Drosophila melanogaster: one gene and its partners. The protein of the gene in region 1 interacts with the protein of each later gene in a pairwise test. Each region holds a gene or a part of one and is shown in the gene's direction. Other genes may lie near its edges.

Region 1 (3,498 bases):
TGGCTTTTGGACATTCCAGTGAAAATACCTTGGGTGTTGGCGAGCAAAAGCAGTGAAGAGTAATTCAGGCCAGGAATTTAGTGTGTGGGATATACAGAGATATACATATTTTATGAAAATTGCTGGAATCATACAATTTGTGTTTATTCTATAATATGGTGTGATATGTTGCCATTTATTTGCCAGTGCCTGAAATATGAGCTATACCTTTCTATATGCCTTATTCTATATTTTTTTGGTTTCATTTTATCTGTGAAATGCAGAAGCATAAAAAATTATCTTAAATCTTAATAATATAATTAGTTGCAGCTGCACACACAGCGACAACAATCTCCTGGCAAATATGATTTTCCCTACTCTCCCAGTGCGCACAATTTGATTATGCCATGTCCAGCAGCTATTTTAGATTTGATTTTTCTGCACGTTTCTCAGTTTTCGCAGCGTGATGTTTTTGTTCGCAACCAAACCCCTTTTCACTCGTTGAGTATTTTTCATATTTTAATTTAAATTAGAGGGCAACACCCACTAAGCCACTCACTGGATGACGATGACTACGAGGAAGATGATGATGGCGATGGCGATGGCGATGGCGATGGCGATGGTGATGATGACGGCAGCTGCAGACAGTGGAAAGCTGGTCGTAACTCAGTCAGACACTCGCTCCGAGCTTAACGCGCTGATGTATGCTAATGAGCCGGCATTGTCGCCGGATCCGTCTGCTTCCCTTGCTCCTTGCTCATCTCTGCCTCCTGATCCTGCTCCGGACCTAACTCGATTGCCGGGGGAGGAGCTGCAGCCGGAGAGCTACCATAAATATGCATAATGCAATTAACAGCCAAATGTAATTGCAAGCCAGAACAAGGAGTAAAAAATAGAAAGAGGAAAATAAAGACAGACTGGCATTAGCAGCTGACAAACCACCCGCATGGCAGTCACTGTCCCGTCACATCACTTCACATCACATCTCTCTTGGTGAAGCATGACAGTCGCTCTGCTCCTTTGGCTTTGCATATGCCCGACTTTTCCGATTCTCTGATTTTCCGACTTTCCCGGCCTGGCCAACCTGTTCGCTCGCACACTTAATTAGGCTATTAAACAATTGCAGAACGCATGCTTGCTAGGCCTGTCTCCAACCAGTTTGCAACTCGCAGTTCCGCCTCGGTCCAATCCAAAATCCGATCCGATCCCAGCCGAATAGCATCGAATCTGCCGCGAATCTGTGCCAAATTTCGCATAGGCACTGCCTAGCCAACTTAAGGCCAAATCGAAAAACCGACAAAACTGAATAACCGTTGCGTGCCTAGGCCCAGTCAGCGTCTTTCGATTTGGCCGTGCCTGTGTCTTTACACTGGAAAAAATTGCAACCAATACGGACGAATAGTATACATTCAATACTCTTGTTACTGTTTGTTTATCATCGTGGATGGATTTATCTCGAGTTGATTATCTGAACTGAGTAGATATGCGAATTCTGGATATGTTTATTGTATTTCTTCCAGTGTGGCCTGCCTTTTCCTCCGTCTATCTGCGCGTATGGCCAACTCCGCTGGATTTACTTGACTTGGCCTGGCTGATTGGGCGCGCGTTGTTTTGCATTTCCAGGCCAGAAACAGCGGCTGCGTAATAAAATGCATTTTAATTTGGCTAAATGTTCAATTAAATTTAAACATGCGCAGTCCGCTGTTTGCAATTTTGTGTTGCCTGTCGCCGTTGCATTGAAGTTGAGTTGCAGGAGAAGTGAATGTGTGCGACAGGACCCTCTTCCGATTTTCTCCAATTTTCAACCAGCTCTTTTTCGTCCAGTAGGCCTCGATCGAAATTTCGGATACCAAGCAAAAAATTTTAATTTAGCGATTCATGTAACGGCGTTACGGTATACAAAAATTTTCAAAATTCCACTTTCATTAAAAGTTTCGGCTAATGTTTTGGTCCTCCCTACTAAGGGGCTTCAGCTCACGTCAGAGCGGCTCCTCGAATAAACCCCCAAAACCTCCAAGTCCACCGAAGCCACCATCGTCACCATCTCCACCAAAGTCTCCTTCTGCCAAACGAGAATGCAAGATCCGGACGCACTGCATTCCGGCCGCCTTCTGCGCCGAAGGGGATAAGTTCAAGTCGATGTGGGATCCGCCGAAGAACCTGCCTCCGCCGTACCCCTTCGTGGTCAGCCGATCAAATGACTTGTGCTGCGAACCCAACTGCACCAAACCACTGCCCTCATTCGACGAGCTGTATTACCGTCCCTCCTGCAAGAACGGTCCTTACCAGCGCCACTGGGTGGAGTGCCCCAAGTTCATGATCCGCAAGAAGATAATCTGCGCCTACGACAAGCTGGAGGCTCTGAGCCCCGCCCGTCGGGTGGCCGAGCGGCGCGAGCGGACAACGCTCAGTGCCACAGCCACAGGACCATGTCCCCATTTCGCTCCGTTGGCACGATGCGTGCCAGGACGTCGTCCGCCCAGATGCCACGCGGCCAAGACGCCCTCCTGCTGCCGCAGGTTGTGTGCACCGATGCCCTGCTGGTCGGATTGTAAGCAGCCTAAGCTGGCCAAGCGACCATATCGACCTCGCGAGTGCGAGTGCCGATTCCCCCTGAGCCTCTGCGAAGCGGAGCGGGGTCGTCAGTGGGTCAAAATTCATGGTGAGAACCACGTCTGTCCCAGTGCCATAAAAAAGGCCAAGAAGGCGAGAAAAGACATGCTCAAGAAGATGAAAAAGGATAAGAAGGATAAGGGCACGGATAAGAAGAAAGATAAGAACAAGGATAAAAATAAAAAATAAGTTTTAAAGGTTATGTTTATTTCTTTGGTCATTGGTGCTCTTGTATTACTCGGTTTCAGCCTCCAGAATTGTTGCTTTGTACTTGCTTTGGCCAGACTCCAGATCGATTAAAGCCTGCTTCAGAGCCATGCGCATAAGTAAGCGGGACTCGGACTCGGTCAGCTGAGCAGAAACTTTGTACCGTTCTCTATCTAAATGGATACCTGTGCCGAATTGGGGTTCCTGGTTCAACGGCTGCTCTTCAATTGACTCGGTGCTAAGGCTACTAGTAGGCTTCTTGGCAGGAACTTCGATAGTCCTAAAGGGCCTGTAGGTGTGTATGGTTTCCTTAGGCTGAGTGTCCTGCGTGTCATCAGTCTTGGGAGTATTCTCATTGGTTTTTGAAGGACTGGACTCTTGAGTATCGCCAGCAGACGCAATTTGCTCGATTTTGTGAGATTGTTTTATTAGCTCCTCCCCGAAGTCCTCATCGGAAATCGAAGACTCTGAAACTACCGAACTAGATTGATTAGTTATTTCACCGGTTAACTCAGAATCCAAAGACTGATTTGCTTCCATCTCGTGATCCAATTTAAGTTGATCGGTGATATCCCTCGTTAGTTCGGAATCAAAAGACTGGTTCGAAATCTCGCTATGATCTAGGCTCTCTACATCACCCAATCCAGATGGTTCTGAGAGCGCACTGGCTACCTCCGAATGCATAGAATCTGCAACACC
Region 2 (6,245 bases), on another chromosome or scaffold:
GAGTGCGGCAGACTGTTGCCAAATCCGTAGCACTCGCCGTTCTGGAAATCCTCCAGCGTGGGCGGCACATTGCTCAGCAGCTTCACGCGAGCGGGCTGGGATGCAGATCTGTTGAGAACGAAGGCGTGCAGTAGATGGTATCAATGTTTCGCTAATGGTTCCCTAATGTTATTGCATATTATTCAGAATTTATACGTATAATTCGGAGATAAAGACAGCATAAAGCAATATATGTACATACTAATATGCATATAATTAGAATATATAATAATTCAGGTTAACCTGAATGGGCGCAGACTCACCCAATTTCGATGGACACAAAGTTGAAGGCAGAATACTTGGTGCAATCTTTGAGCAGCCTTTCGTTGTAGTTCAGGATGCTGTGCTCCTCGTCCGCCCGGGTAACATAGTCCGCCACAATCATGCCGCGCCCTAGTAAGAAATGTTCGTTATTCGATTGCCCCCTACTCGGATTCGTATTCGGGTTCTGAATTGGATTCGGATTCGGATGACGGTAGCTGTTGGAGGTGGTGGTCTTGGGGCAAAGGTTAATGCCGGTGCTGTTGCTGTTGTGATTATGCGGTTGCAAAATGTTTTTGTGCGCTTCAAACAGAAAACAGAAACGAAGAAAGTTTGTTTTTGCTTTGCTTTTTCTTTGGTCGCGGTTGTGAAAGTTTTAGTTCGGGCCAAGTGTTAGGTGTATGGATGAGTGTGTGTGCGTGTGTGTGCGCGTCAATTTGGATTAGTAAGTAGCTCAAATGGGTTTACCAACTGCATCGCGTGGCTTGGGCTCGCCGGTCAGATTGAGCAGGGCGCCCACCTTAAAGAAGCCAGCGGAGTGGCCGATCGCCAGCCAGGTGCCGCCCTCGCGTCCCGGCTCCAGATCGATCCCTGAAATGGGGGAATACATAAATATTTACTCAAGTTGATCCCGCACTCATGGGTAAGATGGCTTGAAATCCAATTAGGTTGCTGGGAAACAGATCTTGTGAGAGGTGTTCATTCTAACAAACTGCTATCAAATCATCTTAGTGACTAAACTATAGGTAACATCTTGATGAATACAAGCTCTCAAGGATTATACTCCATCTAAGCATAGGCATTCAAGGGCATAAGCCCCACCACTTACCTCCGTAAACATGATCGGCATTCGCCCACTTGGCTGCCGATAGGGTGGCGCGGGCAAAGAACTCGTCCCGATTGGAGGCCAGGATGAGCTTGTAGCCACCCGGTTGCGGATTCGAGTCCGCACAAAAGAATATCACGCACATCGTCGGAATCCTATACTTATTTGGCTATTGTTGCGATTTGTAGTGCCTTGAGGTTGTGGGACAACTGCGAATGGGATCCGGAAAAGTGGGCTTTAATCTCGGTGGGGCGTCGGTATCAAAATGGCAGGTTGTTCGGCTCAGTCTTCTCTTTGTTACTTTGTGGCAGTGGAACTATAGCGCCGGTTTTATCACCAAATAGCCGTACGTACGTACAGCTGATATACAGTCTTATCCGTTGTTTGCGAGACCAGCTAATCTAAGTGGTAAATGTAAATGGTTTGGATTGGTGGGTGTTCTCTGTGAGCCGTGCCTCTATGTGATATATACATATCTACGGGGCAAAAAGCATTCCCGTTAACGCAAACAAAGCAGTATTTTCTGAAATTTCAATGACCGGGTTGCCTTGTTTTGATTTCTCTTTTAATTTTGTTTTTGTTTTGTTTTGGCGTTGCCAGCTGACAGGAGAATCGATAAGAAAATCGTTAACACTCTGCTGCCCTGTGCAATATTCTTTTAGCTATTTTATTAATTGCTAATTATTTATTTGTGCAGTCTATGACTTATCTTAATTTGTACTTTTAAATTTGAAGATTTTAGTTCCTCATCGTGCGCTGAAACAATGATTGACCAATATGATTGTGTAATTTATTTCCAAAGCCATATATAACGTATATATAAACATATTAGTTTTTTTTGTCGCCTGTGCCGATCCAGATAACAAACTACTATTTTGAAATTGGCGTAACAGGTAGGTAGGCATTATCGCCAGTTGCCCATCTCTATTGTATGACCGTGGGCCCGGCAATCGATTGGCTTACAACTTATCGATGTTTGAAAACTAACCAAAAACCCTGTAACATAGGCTTGTAATTAAAACTAGAAAATACCATTACATAGCTATGCACTGCAATGCATAAATTAACTAACAGACCTATACAGGCCCTTAAATTGGTAAGAAAACTGATCGCTAAAATTAAAGCGAAAGAGTGGATTTTTTAGGACAAAAATACCGGTCGGTCGAGAACATTTGGGGGGAAAATCATGTCGCCATCTGGTAACACTGGCATTCAGCAGAGCAGTGAAAACGACGTTAATATTTCTGATCAATTAAACAATTGGAAAATCCGGCCGCAGATCGCGATCTAAACGTATCGCCCTCGCCACGCCCACTGCCGCCCACGCCCCCTGGCGCGGGGTCACATCGATAGAGAGCTTTGCGTGTGTGTGTGTGTGCGTGCGTGTATGTGTCGGTCGAGAGGAGAGGTGGAAGACGAAGAAGAATAAAAAAAACAGGCAGCGAAAAGCGATAAGAAACGGAACACAACACACTGGAAAAAAATTGCGATAAGAAACGGGGCGGAGCGGAGCGGAAATTGCCAAGACTCTGGGATGGATTAGCGGCACAGCCGGACTCTGAGGTTAGCCAACAGTGGGATTAGGACCAGGAACAGCCATGTCCTCCGCCGTTAACATCCAGATCGTCTCTATGCCGAATCTGGCCAAGATCGAGAGCTTCCTGAAGGATGTCAGCTACCGGGAGACGATCGAGTACAGTGCCAACTTCAACACGCGCCTGTGCAGCGAACGGCGCCACCGGCTGCCCTTCCTCGATCCGCAGACAGGCGTCGCCCAGAACCACTCGCAGCTCTTCCTGGACAAGCGACAGCGGATGCCCGGCTTCCGGCAGGGCCAGATCTACACGTATCCGGCGGCCCGCTGGCGGAAGAGCCGTCGTCAGTACTTGAGCAAGATGTACAGGTGAGGAATCGTAACCAATCGGTGCGGGATTTGAGTGACTGGCACATGCACAAGGAAAAGTTAGGTATAACTCTGGCGAAGCAAATTAGAGCTTGGAAATCTAGGAGTCTGTTACCTATGGTAATCTTATTTAAAACGAGTTAGGTTAGAAGAATATCATCTGTGTATATGCCATTCAATCTCATCAAATCCTACATTTTTCGTTGGGTGAGCTCCATATTTATCCCTGCTAATAACGAACTTTCCACTTATACAGCCGCTTTCCCGAGCGTCCCTTCCAGGCGCTACGCAAGGAGCACGAAGCTCTGGTGGCCAGCGGCGTCAATCTGGGACTGAGCAGCCTGACCAGCGGTGTGGGCTCCATGCCCGGCAGCAATAGCCTGGCCAGCAGCTCCTCCCTAACGCTCAATATGCTTACGGGCGGCGGAGCCGCGCCGGCCGTACTTGGTTCCCTGCACAGTGACACTGCCCACGATTTTAATGGAGCCTTCAGCCTGGAGGAGTCCAGCTCGCTGGGTGCCGCCGGCGGTGATACATCCGACAGCAAGGACAGTCAACAGCAACAACATCAGCAGCACCAGCACCAGCAGCAGGCCGTCAAAGAGGAGCTTTTGCCCAAGGAGTGGTTCTACGATGACATGGATATGAACGATGTGGACTCGCTGGAGGAGCCCAAATCGCCGGCGGATGATGAGTACGATTATGATCCGCGCTATGGTAACAAAAAAAGGCGCAAGCGGCGACCAGGCAAGCGAGGTGGAGATTCCGGCGGCGGTGGTGGTGGAGGAGGCGCCGGCGGTGGCGGCAATTCCGGCGGTAGCTCCAGCTCGCGGAGACGCAGTGCAGCGGCCAGGTCGCGTATCACAACGACGGATGCGGCGCTGGACGCATCGCTGGAGGCCATTGAATCTGGCGAGAGTGTGCCAGGCAGCAATGGAGGACCAATCTCCAGCGGAGGCATCCTAAGCGGCAGCCTGGGAGCAGGCTTAGCGGGAGTTTCGGGATCCGGCGGCGGAGGAGGAGCATCGGGAGCTTCGGCCAACAGCCGCAGATCGCGGGGAGCGGGAACACGTGGCAGGCGACGAGCCAAGGGGCCAAATAGCGCCGTTGGAGCGTCTTGCGATCCGACAAGTCCCGGCATGGTCATCGAGCCACCATCCTTCGAGAGTGCCGCTGCTGCGGTGGGCGTGGTCGAGGACGCGAACGCCCATCTGCGCAACTATCGGAAGTATCTGTAACCGCTCTATCAGCAACTAACTGGACGTGTAATCAATCAAAGCCTTGTTTTTCGCAATGTTTTCTCGCCTATTGAATCGACCTACTTTTTCGCACATAATTTAAATATAGTTTTTAAGCCTTAGTTGATCACTGTTTGTTGCCCCCCTCCGACAAAAGGATAAAAGCCAAGCAAGAAATGAAAGAAAGGAAACAAATACATTGTGGACCAGGGACAGAAACAGGATTAGAATCAGGATAACGATCAGAACCGCGCACCAGGCCGTAGCCAATACAATTCCAATGTTTCGCCTCTCTTAACTTTACGTTCCCATAGCCAATTGATTGTTGTTTTTTAAACTAGCAATGGACTGGTGAACTTCTACTATAGGATAACTTGAGCGGAAACTTATGGATGTAGCAAATATTCTTCGAGCAATTTTGTAATGTAGGAAACCCTTTAGGCCATCAATTATTAACGTTGTATAAGTTAGACAATGAATTTAAAAAGAACCTTTTTCGTCATCGTTAGGCAATTCGTAATCAATTATTTTCGGGCATCATCTATGCCATAAGTGAAACAGCACAATTTGAACTATGTATAGTTTTGCAATACACGACTATATTTCACATCTGGTTTCCGAAGTTTTGCTTAGAGCAGTTCGCCAGACCATTGCATTATATTGTACATTATATATATGGGTGTACAGACATTATATACATATATATATATATACATACTTGCATGCATTGTATTTGCGACTCTACTTAAGGCAAGTCCACCTTTTGGACTGGCTCTCCACCTAATCGCAATCTCTCGGTTTCTGTTGCTGCATGTTCTTAATACTATTTCACCTAGCTCCCCACCCCTCCCCACATATTATATTCAATTTTTTTTATTTAACCAAAATTTTAGTTAAAAAAGAGACAATTCAGATTGTAATCTATTTAGGCAAGTGGTAGGGTATCTCTAGCATTAGAAGAAGCTAAAAGTAAAAACAATTTCGTAAAACCAAAATTTTTTCTCTAGGATCATAATTATTAAGCTGAGCTAAAAACGAAAACAAATTTTAACTAACTAAGAAGGGACAAAATTGAAATAAGATCAAAAAAGGAAAACATGTACATTTTGGAAGAAAAATCAAAGTCCACAAAATTTTAACGAATGAGAGGCAAAAAATCAGACAAAAATGAACCACAAGAGAATGAAAAAAAAAAACAAAAATGGAAATAGGTTTCTAAGATGTTTTAATATATTTTGTAATAACAATGCTCGAGTATTTTTCATGTATGTAGTTTTTGATCCAAAATTGAGCGATCAACAAAGGCAAAGGGGTTCTCAACGATCGGTTCCTCGAGAGGATTTGCCAATCATCGATCATAGGGCTCTATTGCTGAACGCTTTGTTTTGGGCACAACTACCTCCTCCGCTTGGCACCGGCAGTAGCCTCGTCTGTGGAGGATCTGGTGGTCCGCTTCCGTTTCTGGCTGCTAGGGGGCTTATCTTCGGCAACTTCTTCTTGGGATTCGGATGCCTTTGCCTGCTTCTTTTGGGCTTTCGGTTGTCTCTTCGTTTTGACCAACTCTTTGGATTGCTTCGCTTCCTTTGAATCGACTTGAGTTGGCTCTTCCTCGGATTTCTGTTCCTTTTTGGATTTACGCGAAGTTGAAGTTGAAGTTGGTGCCTTCGTTTTTGATAAAAACAATATTTAGTTAATTTTTTCTGGACTTATTGGGCCTTCCCTACCTCGTTTTCCTGTGCTTCCTCTGTGGACTCCGACTTCTTTGGCGATGCTAGAGCCTCGGACCCCGGTAAATCAATTTTAGATAACTTCTGCGTGTTGATCTGTTCCTTGGACTCCTGCTGGTCACCTAGAATCCCTACAATCCGATCGTATACCTCCTCCACAGTGGGAAACTTGCGAGCACGTGGTGGACCCCGCTTTAGACCCGACCAAAGTGCCACCTGCTCCTGCTTTCCCATTCCGCCGGCGCTCAAAC
Region 3 (4,369 bases), on another chromosome or scaffold:
TGGAAGAACCCTTCGCACATCGTGCATCCTAACTGTTGAAAGTAACTCAATTAAAACCACAAATGTTTTACTATCGGGGGTAGCACAAATAATCAGTAAAAAAACGTTCGTTGGAAGTTTCTTGTAGTGAGTAATTTCTTTAAAAGCCAACAAAATAAAAGCATGATAAAAATAAAATTGTTTCAACAGCGAGTGCATTTCTAATATGATGATTATAATGATTTTGGTTTACCAGTAATTATTTTGTTCTTTAGAAAGCTACCAAATAAGTACAATTAAACATACAAGGCATATTTAATAATTGAGGATCGCAAAGGATCAAAATGAGAGAACAAGAGTCAATAAACTTTTCTAGCACAAAGCAGACCCAACCTCAACACAGTCACCCTTAAAGTCGATTCCACATTTTCGAAATCAGAGGTGCCATTTTAAATCGATTCTATTGATTTAGTAAAGCCATGTCTTATATTCGAATCCGTTCATATTAACCACATTCTCTGAGTAGAGCAACATAAGAATTCTGATTAGAAGGTCCTGTTTGGGCAATGGAAATGGCGGATTGGAATGCCGGTTGCAGATGGGTGAGACAACTTCTGGAGCAGCTTTTTTCTCTCGGGGAGCCAGAGCAGCAGGAAGAAACGGAATCAGAATCGGAAAAAAAGAGGCAACGACCCAGACCCAGCCTGCTGACGAGTTATTGGCCGTTCATCTGGTTTGCCTTTTGCTGCTTGCCTTTTGCGATAACTTTTGCTTTTATTTATAGTCTGTCTGCAGACCAACATTCACTTGTTTCTTTTTTGGGATTTGGCCATCTCTGCAAGGGTGGCTCTTTGTTTTGGGGGCGAAGGACAATGCGAGGGCTGCACATAAACAGCGGCAAACAAATGTCTACGTCTGTTGCTATTGATTTTTCCTTTGCCAAAGGTTACACACACCACGCACACACAACACCCACATGCACACATGCACACACAGACTGTCGAAAAATTGAGGAGCACACGGTGCGTAAATGCATTATGATTTATTCCAGTATCCCAGTTTGCAGCGACAACAATCGCCAGCCAACCTTTTTTCCAGTGTGCACACACGCGCGCTTGTTTGTGTGCGTTAATGTCGCTGATCTTGCCACTTATTGTACGATTTTTTTCTGCTGATTATTATTCACATAATTACAGACACACACAATTTAAAAATGCACATATTTCCGCTTTTGTTCACCAGCCATTGCCATCGATTTCGTTTTCGTTTCGTCCATGGAATGGAATGACACTTCCACAAAGAGAGGACGCCAGCTAATTACCAGTATCGATCGAGAGAGAGAGCGGCTGAGAGCGTATCCTTGGAAATGTAAAGAGCGTGGTGCACCTGCGGCCGCTTAAAGATGAAGAGGAAGTGGAGTTGGAGGAGGAACTGGAACAGGAGGACCAGGAGCCAGGAGGCTCTCTTCTCTTCTTTTTCTCGTTCAATGACACAGAAATCTTTCCTCTCGTCTTCCGCTTTGTGCGCTCCTTCTTCCAATATACAAGCGAGCTTTTTATATGTGCGAGTGCGACTGCGAGGCCATCGCTGCGTTTATCTCCCTCTGTCTGTGTGTGTGTGCGTTTGTGTGTGTTGGAGTGCGTGTGGCTACACACAAAGTAATATTTTCAAGCACGTTTTTCATGCACTTCGAGCCGTTTTTTGTCTATTGCCGCATAGAAAACGAATAAACGCCACTTTCATCTACAATTTGGTGTACAATTCGTGCATATTGGTGCACTTTTCACTATCAAAAACCGTTTAAATCGTTTTCACCTTGCGACAAGAAAAATTACAACACCAGGCGTTGGAGTGCTGCAAAACGTATGCGGGCTGCGGGAACTTACCAGCACTAGCAGTGGTGGTATTTTTGGCTAAGCAGGGCATTTAGCTATTTTCTTGCTAAATACTACGTTTCTAAGTGATGGCAATGGATGAGAATCCCAAAAATTAGACCAATACTGTTAATTATTTTCTCAGGTGTTTAGATAAGAAAATAAAATAAAATGGCTTGCGTATCTGTTATTACACTTTGTTTAATATTTTGCGTCCCATACCGCTTTATTTCCCAAAAAGTATATGAAAAGTATGAATCCCTGGTAAGGGAAATTATTCAAGGAAGAAGAAGAAACAGCAAGCCGGAACGCAGGGAATTTTTTAGACAAGTTTGTCAACGTTTGCTAAGATTTTGTCGAGTTTGTGCAGTAAATAATAACAAACAACAGATATGGCAGATAAGGCGCAGGAACAAAGTATAATGGACAAGTCCATGCGGTCGGTTTTTGTGGGGAACATACCCTACGAGGCCACCGAGGAGAAGCTAAAGGAGATTTTCAGCGAAGTGGGCCCGGTCTTGTCACTGAAGTGAGTTCCCTACTTAGAGCCATGCAATATCTCACTGTAAACCTCCTATTCTCAATCCCCCAGACTGGTCTTTGATCGGGAAAGTGGCAAACCCAAGGGCTTTGGCTTCTGCGAGTACAAGGACCAGGAGACGGCTTTAAGTGCCATGCGGAATCTGAATGGCTATGAGATCGGCGGCAGAACACTGCGAGTGGACAACGCGTGTACGGAGAAGTCGCGCATGGAGATGCAGCAGCTGCTTCAGGGACCCCAGGTGGAGAATCCCTATGGCGAGCCCTGCGAACCAGAGGATGCTCCCGAGCTCATCACCAAAACGGTGGCTTCCTTGCCGCCGGAGCAAATGTACGAGCTGATGAAGCAGATGAAGCTCTGCATCGTGAGCAATCCATCGGAGGCACGCCAGATGCTAATGCTCAATCCTCAGTTGGCGTACGCTTTGCTCCAGGCCATGGTGGTTATGAGGATCGTGGACCCTCAGCAGGCGCTCGGGATGCTCTTCAAGGCCAACCAAATGCCCCCCGTCTTGGGCGGCAATCCGCACCAGGGGCCGGGGAATCACACCATGATGGGTCAGCAACAGGTTCCGCAACAGCAGGTGCAGATCCCGCAGCAACAGCAACAGGCTCCCCAGCCACCAATGCCCGTTCCCGGACCTGGCTTCCCGGCCAATGTCCATCCGAACGATATCGATTTGCGCATGGTGCCGGGTGGACCCATGCCGATGGATCCCAGGATGATGGGCCGTGGCATGGACCAGGATTTGCGAGCTTCTCTACCCAATCCAGTGCCACCGCCGCTGATGGATCCCCGAGCTCGTGCCCAGATGCCCCCACAGCAGCAGCAGGGCGTTCCGCAGGCGCCACCGGCCCCCTATCCCAGCGATCCGCGCCAGCGTCCCATGGATCCCAGGTTAAGGGCAGGACCTGGTCCTCAGCAGCAGGCGCCGCCACAAGGAATCCCCCAAGCGCCGCCACCGACACAACAACAGCAGGCGGCCGCTCAGCAGTTGCAGAGCAGACTAGGCGCCCATGGAGTCCTGCCCTCGGATGCCTCCGACCAGGAGAAGGCTGCCCTCATCATGCAGGTACTGCAGCTGTCCGACGAACAGATTGCGCAGCTGCCCTCCGAGCAACGGGTCAGTATTGTCATGCTCAAAGAGCAGATTGCGAAGAGTACCCAGCGCTGAAACTACTCTGGCTGAAACAAATGAAAAATCACCATTTCGCTCATGCATACTATAGTACTTTCAACATTGAATCAATTAATAAAAAGAACATTTCAACACAAGGAGATTTATTAAGCGGAATAGAATGGTTTTCAAAGAGCGGAGACTAGGGTCTGGTGTAACTTCTGAACCGTCGTATTGAGCATTTGTCGCAGCACATCATCCTCGGCACAGCTGATGGCCTGGAAAGATTGTAGATTAACGATATTTTTCGATTTTAAAAAGCACCTTCGACGAACACTCACCAGGGTTTCCAGATTTATTTCCGCACGTTTACCGCTCACCGTCACTGGCAGCAGATCGCCCTCGAACATTTTTGGCACGCAGTTGTCGCCGAAGGTGTCCTGTAGCGTCTCGATTAGGCACTCCCGAAAGCGCGAGTCCTCTGACTTGGTTTGCTTTGTGGCACCCTTCAGATTTGTTCCGCCCAACTCCGATTGCATGATGCAGGCAAGAACGGCATCGGCGTACACATCATTCACATGCGTCGCTTGCCACTCCATCACAATGATTTTCTGCTCCACAGTTAGCTCGATGCAGCCGAACACGCGCAGCTTTCGCTCCGCCTCCAGCACCTCAACGCATCCGGCTCCAATGCGATCCAGCAGTAGCTCTAGAGTGCTCAGCGAGCTGCCCCAGGGAATCGACTGGCGTTGGGTTACAACAGACATGCTCATATCCGTGTATTCTGTGGGAATTATTTAAATGAATCGACATTTTTACAAAGAAACTAACTAACTATTACTTACTGCCCAGATCAGA
Region 4 (8,326 bases), on another chromosome or scaffold:
AGCCTATAGCCCATATAGTCTAACACTAAATTATCCCCTGTTTAGGATGATTTCACTAATTTAGAATTTAGCCAGGGACAATTTTAGCCAGAAGCAGAGTCAGAGATTAGCCTCACTTTTAAATTTTTATAGTTCCAATTGCCCATTTGTTTGGAATTCAAAATTTTGACAAAACAAAAGAAGATGGAAGCATAAGAAAGAATGAAATCTTTCGAGGAATATAATATTTATAGCCTAATTATACACCTATAATGAAAATATACATTCATGGCGAATGCGAATGAAACGTTAATTGCAATCTACAAGTAAACAATTGATATATTAACGATGTATGATCGCAGTATTTGCAGCTAGCAAAATCCAAATCGATTCGAATGTAACGAGCATATAATGTTAAATTTGTTTATATAATCTATGAGATGGAGAACTAAGCCGAACAGGAAATCATTGACAATTGTTAAAGCTCAAATACTTATTAATTGGAGGCTAAGGAGGCTGGAAATTGAAAATAATTAACTATGCAAGAGCATTGAAAGTTAGGACAACCATTTGCATTTCTCACTCACTAAAAGACACGAACACACTGTGGCACTTGCATTTTGAAGGTATACAGAATTCCGAATTATATTAAAACAAATTATTGCAGTACCAGTTTTATTTTTTTTTGTAATACTTGTTAATACCTTTTCTTTCTGAACTATAGGGTTTTAACCTCCAGCAAACCAGCCACATTTTCTCTATATATCTCTCACTATTTATCAAGAAAAAATAACAACACAAAATTCCCAGCGGATCCAACGAAAAGATCCATAATTTTAAATTTTAATTTTAAGGCAACTCTATTGTATTTGTTATGTTATTTAGTAGTTAGATTCGAAGAGGCCTAGGACCTCTCAATCTAGTTTCAAAGCAGGAATATTGTATTTATTTCTGATAGCACGATCCGCTGGGATAAGTTATATCTATCTCTATATAAACACATACAGCCAACAAGATAACAACATAAAGAGTTTTGGACAGATTTCAATGGCCTATCTTTGTTATTGTTACGTCACAGTTATAAATCTTAAAAGTTAAAACAACGAAGCTCAAATGAAAATTAACATTTTAGACCAGATTAGTAATGAAACAAAATTAGAGGGCGGAAACCACATATGATATATATTCTTCATTGGATTTGGTTACCTTAAACGTAGTATAGAAATCTTGATATCATTCCACTTTAAAAAAGCAATACCCTTTTAAGTTTTCACCCCCTTCAGTTAACGAAAAGTGGTTTAGAAAACACTGCCTATAGCTTAGGAAAAAATTGAAAATTCGCCTCAGCCTGAATTGAAGTAAAAGTTAACGTAATTATAAAATTCAACATTTTGCCATAAATTTCTATTGTGGTTTCCCCCCTTAAAACCATTGCGATCCAATTTGATTTAAGTTTTAGAGATTCCCATTGTTATATTGTTTAAGAAACCAATTTTAATCAAAACGCATGAGCATAATATTAAAAGATCTATTTAAAAACCCCTGTATGGATCTAATTTTTAAATTAATATTAAAATTGAGACAAGCTGCGCTGATTCATGAACGAATTTAATTTGCCAAGTTTCATAACGAATAGGAGTATTTACAAACAGTTAAAAACTAAACTAAATCAGAAACTAAAACCAATATTAGCCACGAATTGTACCTTTCGATTTTGAATTTAAATAACACTCTCGGTATTTGCAAGAAAAATAAAAGAAATAAATAAAAACAATAAGGCAAAGAGTAAACGAAGCTGCAATAAAAACAATTGATGTTTAAAAGTACTACGTTAACAAAAACAAACACGTTTTACGTCAAGCAAATAGAGCTAATTTAAAAGATTGTTATCCTCTCATTTTTTAACACGAAATAGAGATCCTAAATACAGAAAACCAAACAAATTACAAGTTTTAATAAACGCATTCAAAATGTAACGGAACGAAATTACAATTGTAAGAGATGAAAATAATAAATGCAAAAATTCAAGTATACATTCAACGAGTTTAAATTTCAAATTCTGAAAGCTGATTTTTTTTGAAAATTGTACGCAGAATAATTTAGGTTTGAAACTCGACTTGTGGCCATTGAAGCTTTGAACCACTTTTGTTCAGTGGTATATTTTGAGAATCTTGCGGTATATTTTAACGGTCATCAATGGTCACACTCTGCAGGCGCTGGTCACACTACAAATTTTCCAAGTCTTTCATATTCCGGAAAACAAAACAAAATTAATTAAGTAATTAGACACGAAGTATCTAGGAAAATGCACAGGGAATCACGGTGATTAAACGGAAATGTGGAGAAGTATCGAAGCGTAAGAATCGACGGCGACCGTCAGTCCACAATAACACCACCCACGAGCAACAATAACAACAATACAACTAAAACGGGAGGCAACTGCAAATATACACACACCGAGAGAAATCAAAATAAAAAGGTACAGAATATGTGTGTGTATGCATAATTGTTTGATGAAAAATAGAATTACTTTATATTTAAAATATATCCCGGATATTTGCGAGTGTGTGTGTGTGTGGGAGAGTGCGACAACAACATCATCAGCCATAGACGAACAACAACAACAATAGCAGTTTGACCCCCGCACAGCTGTGAATGTTTTCCATCTCTCTTTGGCGCCCGCAATCCCCATCGCCCTCTCTCTCTAATTTCGCATTCTGCTGCCTTGAATTCAAAATCAAACTTCCAATCGCCACATACATATTTACCTCTGTTTCCAGCAATTCGCCGTTAGTCGGGAGCCCTAAGCTGAGAACGTGCATTTGTACATATACATATACATGTGGATCTCTATAACTTCCCCCGTTAGCTTAGTTGCAATATTTTCTTTGTTGTGCTATTGCCATCCCTTTTGCACACCACCCTACCCCACCTACCCGAAAACTACGCACTTTGCTTTTGGCCTGCTTATTGCGTTGTGTTTTCGATTCTCCCCCTGTTTTGCGTTTCAAAAGTCTTATCAGCACGAACAATTAAATGTGCGCTTTAAAGCTGAGTAATAAATTGAATGCTTTTACATCAACAACAATTTGCTACCATTTTCTGCCCCTCCCCCACACAAGCGTACACACACACACATGTGCAGTCAATGACCCATTATGCATGTGTGGGGGGAGGTTGCAAAAACACGAAAAACGAAATCCACTAAGACGTCTTCCTAATTTTTGACTTTGATTTTGAGTTTGCTTTCGAACCTTTCGCTTAACCGTTGCATTTGACCTCGTTAAATCTCCTCCTTCATTTGCTTTTGGCATGTGTATTTGTATATATTTTGTTGCTAGGCTCCACACGCACACACTAAGGCAGTGACATGTGTGCAATTTTGAAGGGCATCGCCACTTCGGCTTTTTAGCCTCTCCCGTCTCTCTACCCTTTCAGCCCACTCCCCCTCCTATTACCATTTCCCGTTTCATTTCTTTCTCTAGCTTCTTGTTTTTCTGGCTTTGCTTTGCCTTTGCTGCATTTCACAGCTGTCGCTGTCCTTGATTATAGCTTTTCTTTGCTTTGCTTTGCTTTACTTTAGGGGCTCTCTTCGTCCAATTTGTTGTTGCTCATCGCTTTGTTATTATGATTTTCCTTTGAAGGGGGTCCATTACACTAAGAAAAAAGAGCCACATAAGAAGTTAAAAATTTAACGTAAAGAAGCTAACAAATTTATTCCATTTACCATCTGGTTTTGCCTTGAAGTATGCAATATATTCGGCAGACTACATTTTGTTTCTATTTCACCGTTTTCAATATGTTTATATGAGGAATTTGGTAACTATTTTATTACTTTTTTATAATTATATTGCCTTTATTTAAGTACTCATTAAGTGTTTGGAGCTGCCATACGCAAATATATTTCTAATTTGAAATTGAATCGCAGTTTAGTTTTTCCCGTGTACTGCACTCAGCAATCTCTCTCTCCCTCGTCCCTCTTCTTCCACCCGTCAGCCCCCACCAACCTTCTCTCTTTTGCGCTTGCTCTCCCGATTGTCGCTCTCTGCTTTATGCTGGCGTCGCTGTCGCCGTCAGATGCTCGTGAGCTCCAACGTGCGCTGCTTTCTGCTTTCTGCTTTGGGGGCTCGAAACTCTGTTGCCAGTTAATTTTCAGTAACTAGTTGAAGTAGACAACAAAACGAGCGAAAACGAAAACACACACATATGTAGGCTGATATATGTGGATAGGGGAGACGGAGGGCCAGCAACAACTAAAAACATCATCACCAAAAACCACAACAATAGTTGCAAGTAAATAACAAAGTCACAAAAATCCGTCTTATATAGGTATATTTGCAAAAAGTTTAAATTTAAATATTTAATAAGTGTGTGATTATTTAACGGTGATGCCAATGGTGATATTATAAATGAAGACATTCATAAAGAGTGAAAAGAATTCCACCTCCAAGAGACAACAACAAAAGCATCAAATTGCAGCTGACTTTTATTATTTTGTTTGTTTATTATTGATGTTGCTGCTGCTGACTTGGTTGCTTGGTGATCTTCCATGTGGTGGCATCACAAGTACACACGCACACTTCCACTTCCACTCAAGAGTCTTGCACAAAAGCAATGCAATGCAAAGGCAACAACAGCGACAGCGACGAGAGACAGTATTACTTCGCTTATTGCGTACAGTAAGGCCAATAAAAAGCAAAAACAACAGGCACAGTAATGCTTCTCCACACAGAAATCGAAAGAGAATTTCACAATTTGTTAAACTAACGAAGCCAAACCGTGACAGAAAGACAGAAACGGAAAGATTTTTGATATGTGGTGGCCATAAGGAAAAAAAGAGATAGGGGGCGATAGGGGAGCCAGCGCACACACACACACACACACACACAGAAACATACAATCACATACAAACACTTGACAAAGTACAAGAGAGTAACAGCAGTAACAGCAGAATTAGCTCATCCCAAAGCGTAGAAGAGTGGTGAAGAGAGAGGGAGAGCCATAGAATGGGGCACAGTGGGGTAAAGCGATATATTCAGAAAGAATATATTATAATTTGAAAATTTTATTTTTCCTGAAATTTGTGTAACAGTTTTCATAATTCCGTAACGTTCGTTTGATTTACGTTGCTGATCGATCTGCTCATGTTTCTCACATCCCCACTGTACATTTGTTGATTTCAAGATTGCGGTGGGGCTGCCCCTCTTCTACTCTCTTTCTGGCTCTCTCTCTCTCTCTCTCTGGCAGTGCTCCGTGACTTTTGAGCAACAACATTAAACAGCTGAGCTTGTTTGAAAACAACAGCCACCCAACCAACCAACTAGCACAAAAGCCCTCACCCACCGAAACGGGAAACGGAATTGAAATTGAAACGAAATCGCCAAGAGCAAGTGAGTGGTGAGAGAAAGGATGAAAGAGTCTGTGGAGGGGAGGGGAATAGAGCATAACGGTATCCCGAAAGTATGCAGCAAAAGTCCGCTGAAATCCGTTTCGAAGGACGGCGATTTTTGCAAATGGCAATGAGAGTGAGAGAGCTGGAGAGAGAAAGCGGGAGTGGTAGTGGGTGGATTTGGGCGACGACGTCACAGATTGCTGACATAGTTTCCTCATTTAGGCCAAGTATGCATGTGCATGTTCTCTATGTATGTGTGCGAGAGCAAGAGATTCGCTGGTGACCTACATAACCATGAATATAAATATATATACGGGACATAGATAACTCAGAAGGTAACTCGACCTCCTCCAGATCATATCCCCTGACTTGGCGCCACAGTCCCAATTGGCTAAGTTAAACTTTTGCGTGATAAAATTACCAGTAATTAAATGTGCATTTTTAGAGAACATCTTATAAAAAAGGATAAAATTAGAAATGTTAGGAACACTTTAAAATTTAATATATTTATTCCTTAAAAATATCCTATCTATATTTTTAACTCCATAACGTCTGAAAAACTATAAACTTAGAAAGCAAAATTGTAAATAGGTATTCAAGTAACATCCCAATACTTCCTTAAGTTGATGTCTCTATGCTATAGATGACACCACCTGACCTATCTCTAATTTGAATATCCTTGCTTATCCTTGTGTCCATTAATTGCCATTGCAGGCAGCTCCCGTTTTGCTCTGGACGGTGCCAGTGAGAGTTGACGAATGCGGAGCAGTTCGTGGCTGGCGGAGCAGCAGCTGGGCAACCGGAAGCGGATAGCGGATGTAACTCAATAGCAATATTTCAAAGGAACAACATTAAGCATACAACTTATAGATAACAAAGATAACACCGCCTTAGCCTTAGTGAAAAACAACGAGGAGACGACCACTCCAAAACCAAATCAAATCAAACCAAACCAATCAAATCAAAAGCCAGGCAACTACAATCCCAAATAAACCAACAAAATGTCCTCGCCCAGTGCCGGAAAGCGACGCATGGACAACGATGTGATCAAGCTGATCGAATCAAAGCACGAGGTGACCATCCTGGGAGGCCTCAACGAGTTCCACGTCAAGTTCTTCGGTCCAACGGAGACGCCCTACGAGGGCGGCGTGTGGAAGGTGCGCGTCTACCTGCCCGACAACTATCCCTTCAAGTCACCGAGCATTGGTTTTGTGAACAAGATCTACCATCCGAACATTGACGAATCCTCGGGTACGGTGTGCCTGGATGTTATCAATCAGGCCTGGACGGCGTTGTACGATCTATCGAACATATTTGAATCGTTCTTGCCGCAGCTGCTCACATATCCCAATCCGGTCGATCCGCTCAATCGGGATGCGGCCGCATTGTACCTGCACGAGCCGGAGGAGTATCATCGCAAGGTGGCCGACTATGTGCAGCGCTATGCCACCGAGGACGCGTTGCGGGCGGCGCAGCAGGAGCGGGAGAGCAGCGACAGCGAGTCGAGCATGTCCGACTACAGTGAGGATGAGGCCAGGGACATGGAATTATAATATCGGTTGGACCGCCAGCCTACGGAACTACCGCTAACACTAACACTGACAACAGCCTAATACAAATGCTTCGAGAATCCATTTTCCTGCCACCCAATTTCCCCAAACAAACACACTCACTTATACTTTCACCATACCCCTTCAGTTGGCGATGGAACAAAAAGCAACAATATATATATATATATATCTATATATATATATACATAATTGATAAATGATAATTGGATTTTAAGATAGAAAGTGATTCGATGATGGCGTGTGATGATCAGCGCACACACGCAGATACATATAAATATATACATAATATATATATATATATACACTAATGTAAGCAGAAAGAAAAACAAGATTTAAAAACTCTTAGTTTAGCCATCAGTAGCTGATAACAAAACGGATTGGAGCAACGATCGCAACAGATCATAGCAGATATATAGACCACAGTAACAAAAAAAAAATGGAACGGATGGAAGAGCAAAATAGAAACAAACAGAATAGAAACACAAACAAACAAACAAACAAAACCGATAAAATACAGATAGCAGAGATAAAAGCATAGATGCAAGCGCAATTTAAATGGTTATAGTAAGTGCACATGCAATGCGAAATTTGACGAGAAATTGCTTTGGCCTTGATCTGGCATTAAACAGACTTCGATGCTCGTCGTTCTTTAGAGTTTAACAAGTTGATAGAAAACGTAAACACAAATACCACCATCAAACATAAGTTTTTGGAATGCCCTCACCACATATAAATACCACACGACGATAACCCAATTATCCAATTTGCAATCCAGAGGAACGGAAACCTTAGAACGATCGATCGATCAGCAAAACTGCGGATTATTATTTGTTCTTATGTAATAGTGTGTACTTTATATGTTTGTCTTGTTTTTGTTCCGTTTAATTGTAAGCGCGAATTTTTTTTTATTGTCTGTATATGTGTATTAAGATATTTGGAAACCGCAGAAAATCATCAGACTTAGCAGCACTTTCTCTGCCGAAAAGTAAAAAAAATATATATCAAAAGGTGAATACGATCGATACTAAATGAAATGAAATAGAAAGCCAAGACAAATCCTAGAGGAAAGGCATGGAGGCGATTGCGTGGAACAGACGGAATAATCGTTGCAGTTCTTTTTCTTGTTAATTAATCTTATTATACGGTTATTATGTAATATTTTAAAATAGGATTCGAATTGATCGTGTAATTAAATGCAATAATTCTTATGTCTAACTTATGTCACCCGTGTTTAAGCCAAAAGCATATATTTTTTTATTATAATACATTTTGTCTTTACACCACATTTACTACATGATTTATTGTTCTCTCTCTCTCTCTCTCTCTCTCTTAGTCATCTCTCTCCCTCGTTCTCGCTTTTTAAAATTGTTAATCAAATTGGAGA

Evidence for each region.
Region 2: the proteins of CG11635 (region 1) and tth interact in a two-hybrid assay, tested with the Drosophila melanogaster proteins (one large-scale study listed by BioGRID).
Region 3: the proteins of CG11635 (region 1) and CstF64 interact in a two-hybrid assay, tested with the Drosophila melanogaster proteins (one large-scale study listed by BioGRID).
Region 4: the proteins of CG11635 (region 1) and UbcE2H interact in a two-hybrid assay, tested with the Drosophila melanogaster proteins (one large-scale study listed by BioGRID).

What each region holds. Positions count from the first base shown.
Region 1 is NT_033778.4:8,356,687-8,360,184, forward strand, and holds CG11635 (uncharacterized protein), read left to right. Parts: upstream 1-1,851; 5' UTR 1,852-1,920; coding exon 1,921-2,781; 3' UTR 2,782-2,786; downstream 2,787-3,498. Other genes in the region: spaw (spacewatch), read right to left, coding at 2,827-3,498.
Region 2 is NC_004354.4:13,612,460-13,618,704, reverse strand, and holds tth (toothrin), read left to right. Parts: upstream 1-2,118; 5' UTR 2,119-2,724; coding exon 2,725-3,029; intron 3,030-3,285; coding exon 3,286-4,267; 3' UTR 4,268-5,512; downstream 5,513-6,245. Other genes in the region: Tango2 (transport and golgi organization 2), read right to left, coding at 1-108, 303-603, 769-891, 1,130-1,271.
Region 3 is NT_033777.3:18,657,460-18,661,828, forward strand, and holds CstF64 (cleavage stimulation factor 64 kD subunit), read left to right. Parts: upstream 1-2,158; 5' UTR 2,159-2,245; coding exon 2,246-2,382; intron 2,383-2,445; coding exon 2,446-3,568; 3' UTR 3,569-3,667; downstream 3,668-4,369. Other genes in the region: Cpsf73 (cleavage and polyadenylation specificity factor 73), read right to left, coding at 3,700-3,789, 3,853-4,295, 4,357-4,369.
Region 4 is NC_004354.4:8,087,907-8,096,232, reverse strand, and holds the start of UbcE2H (ubiquitin conjugating enzyme E2H), read left to right. Parts: upstream 1-2,168; 5' UTR 2,169-2,458; intron 2,459-4,119; exon of another isoform or gene 4,120-4,308; intron 4,309-6,085; 5' UTR 6,086-6,372; coding exon 6,373-6,924; 3' UTR 6,925-8,326.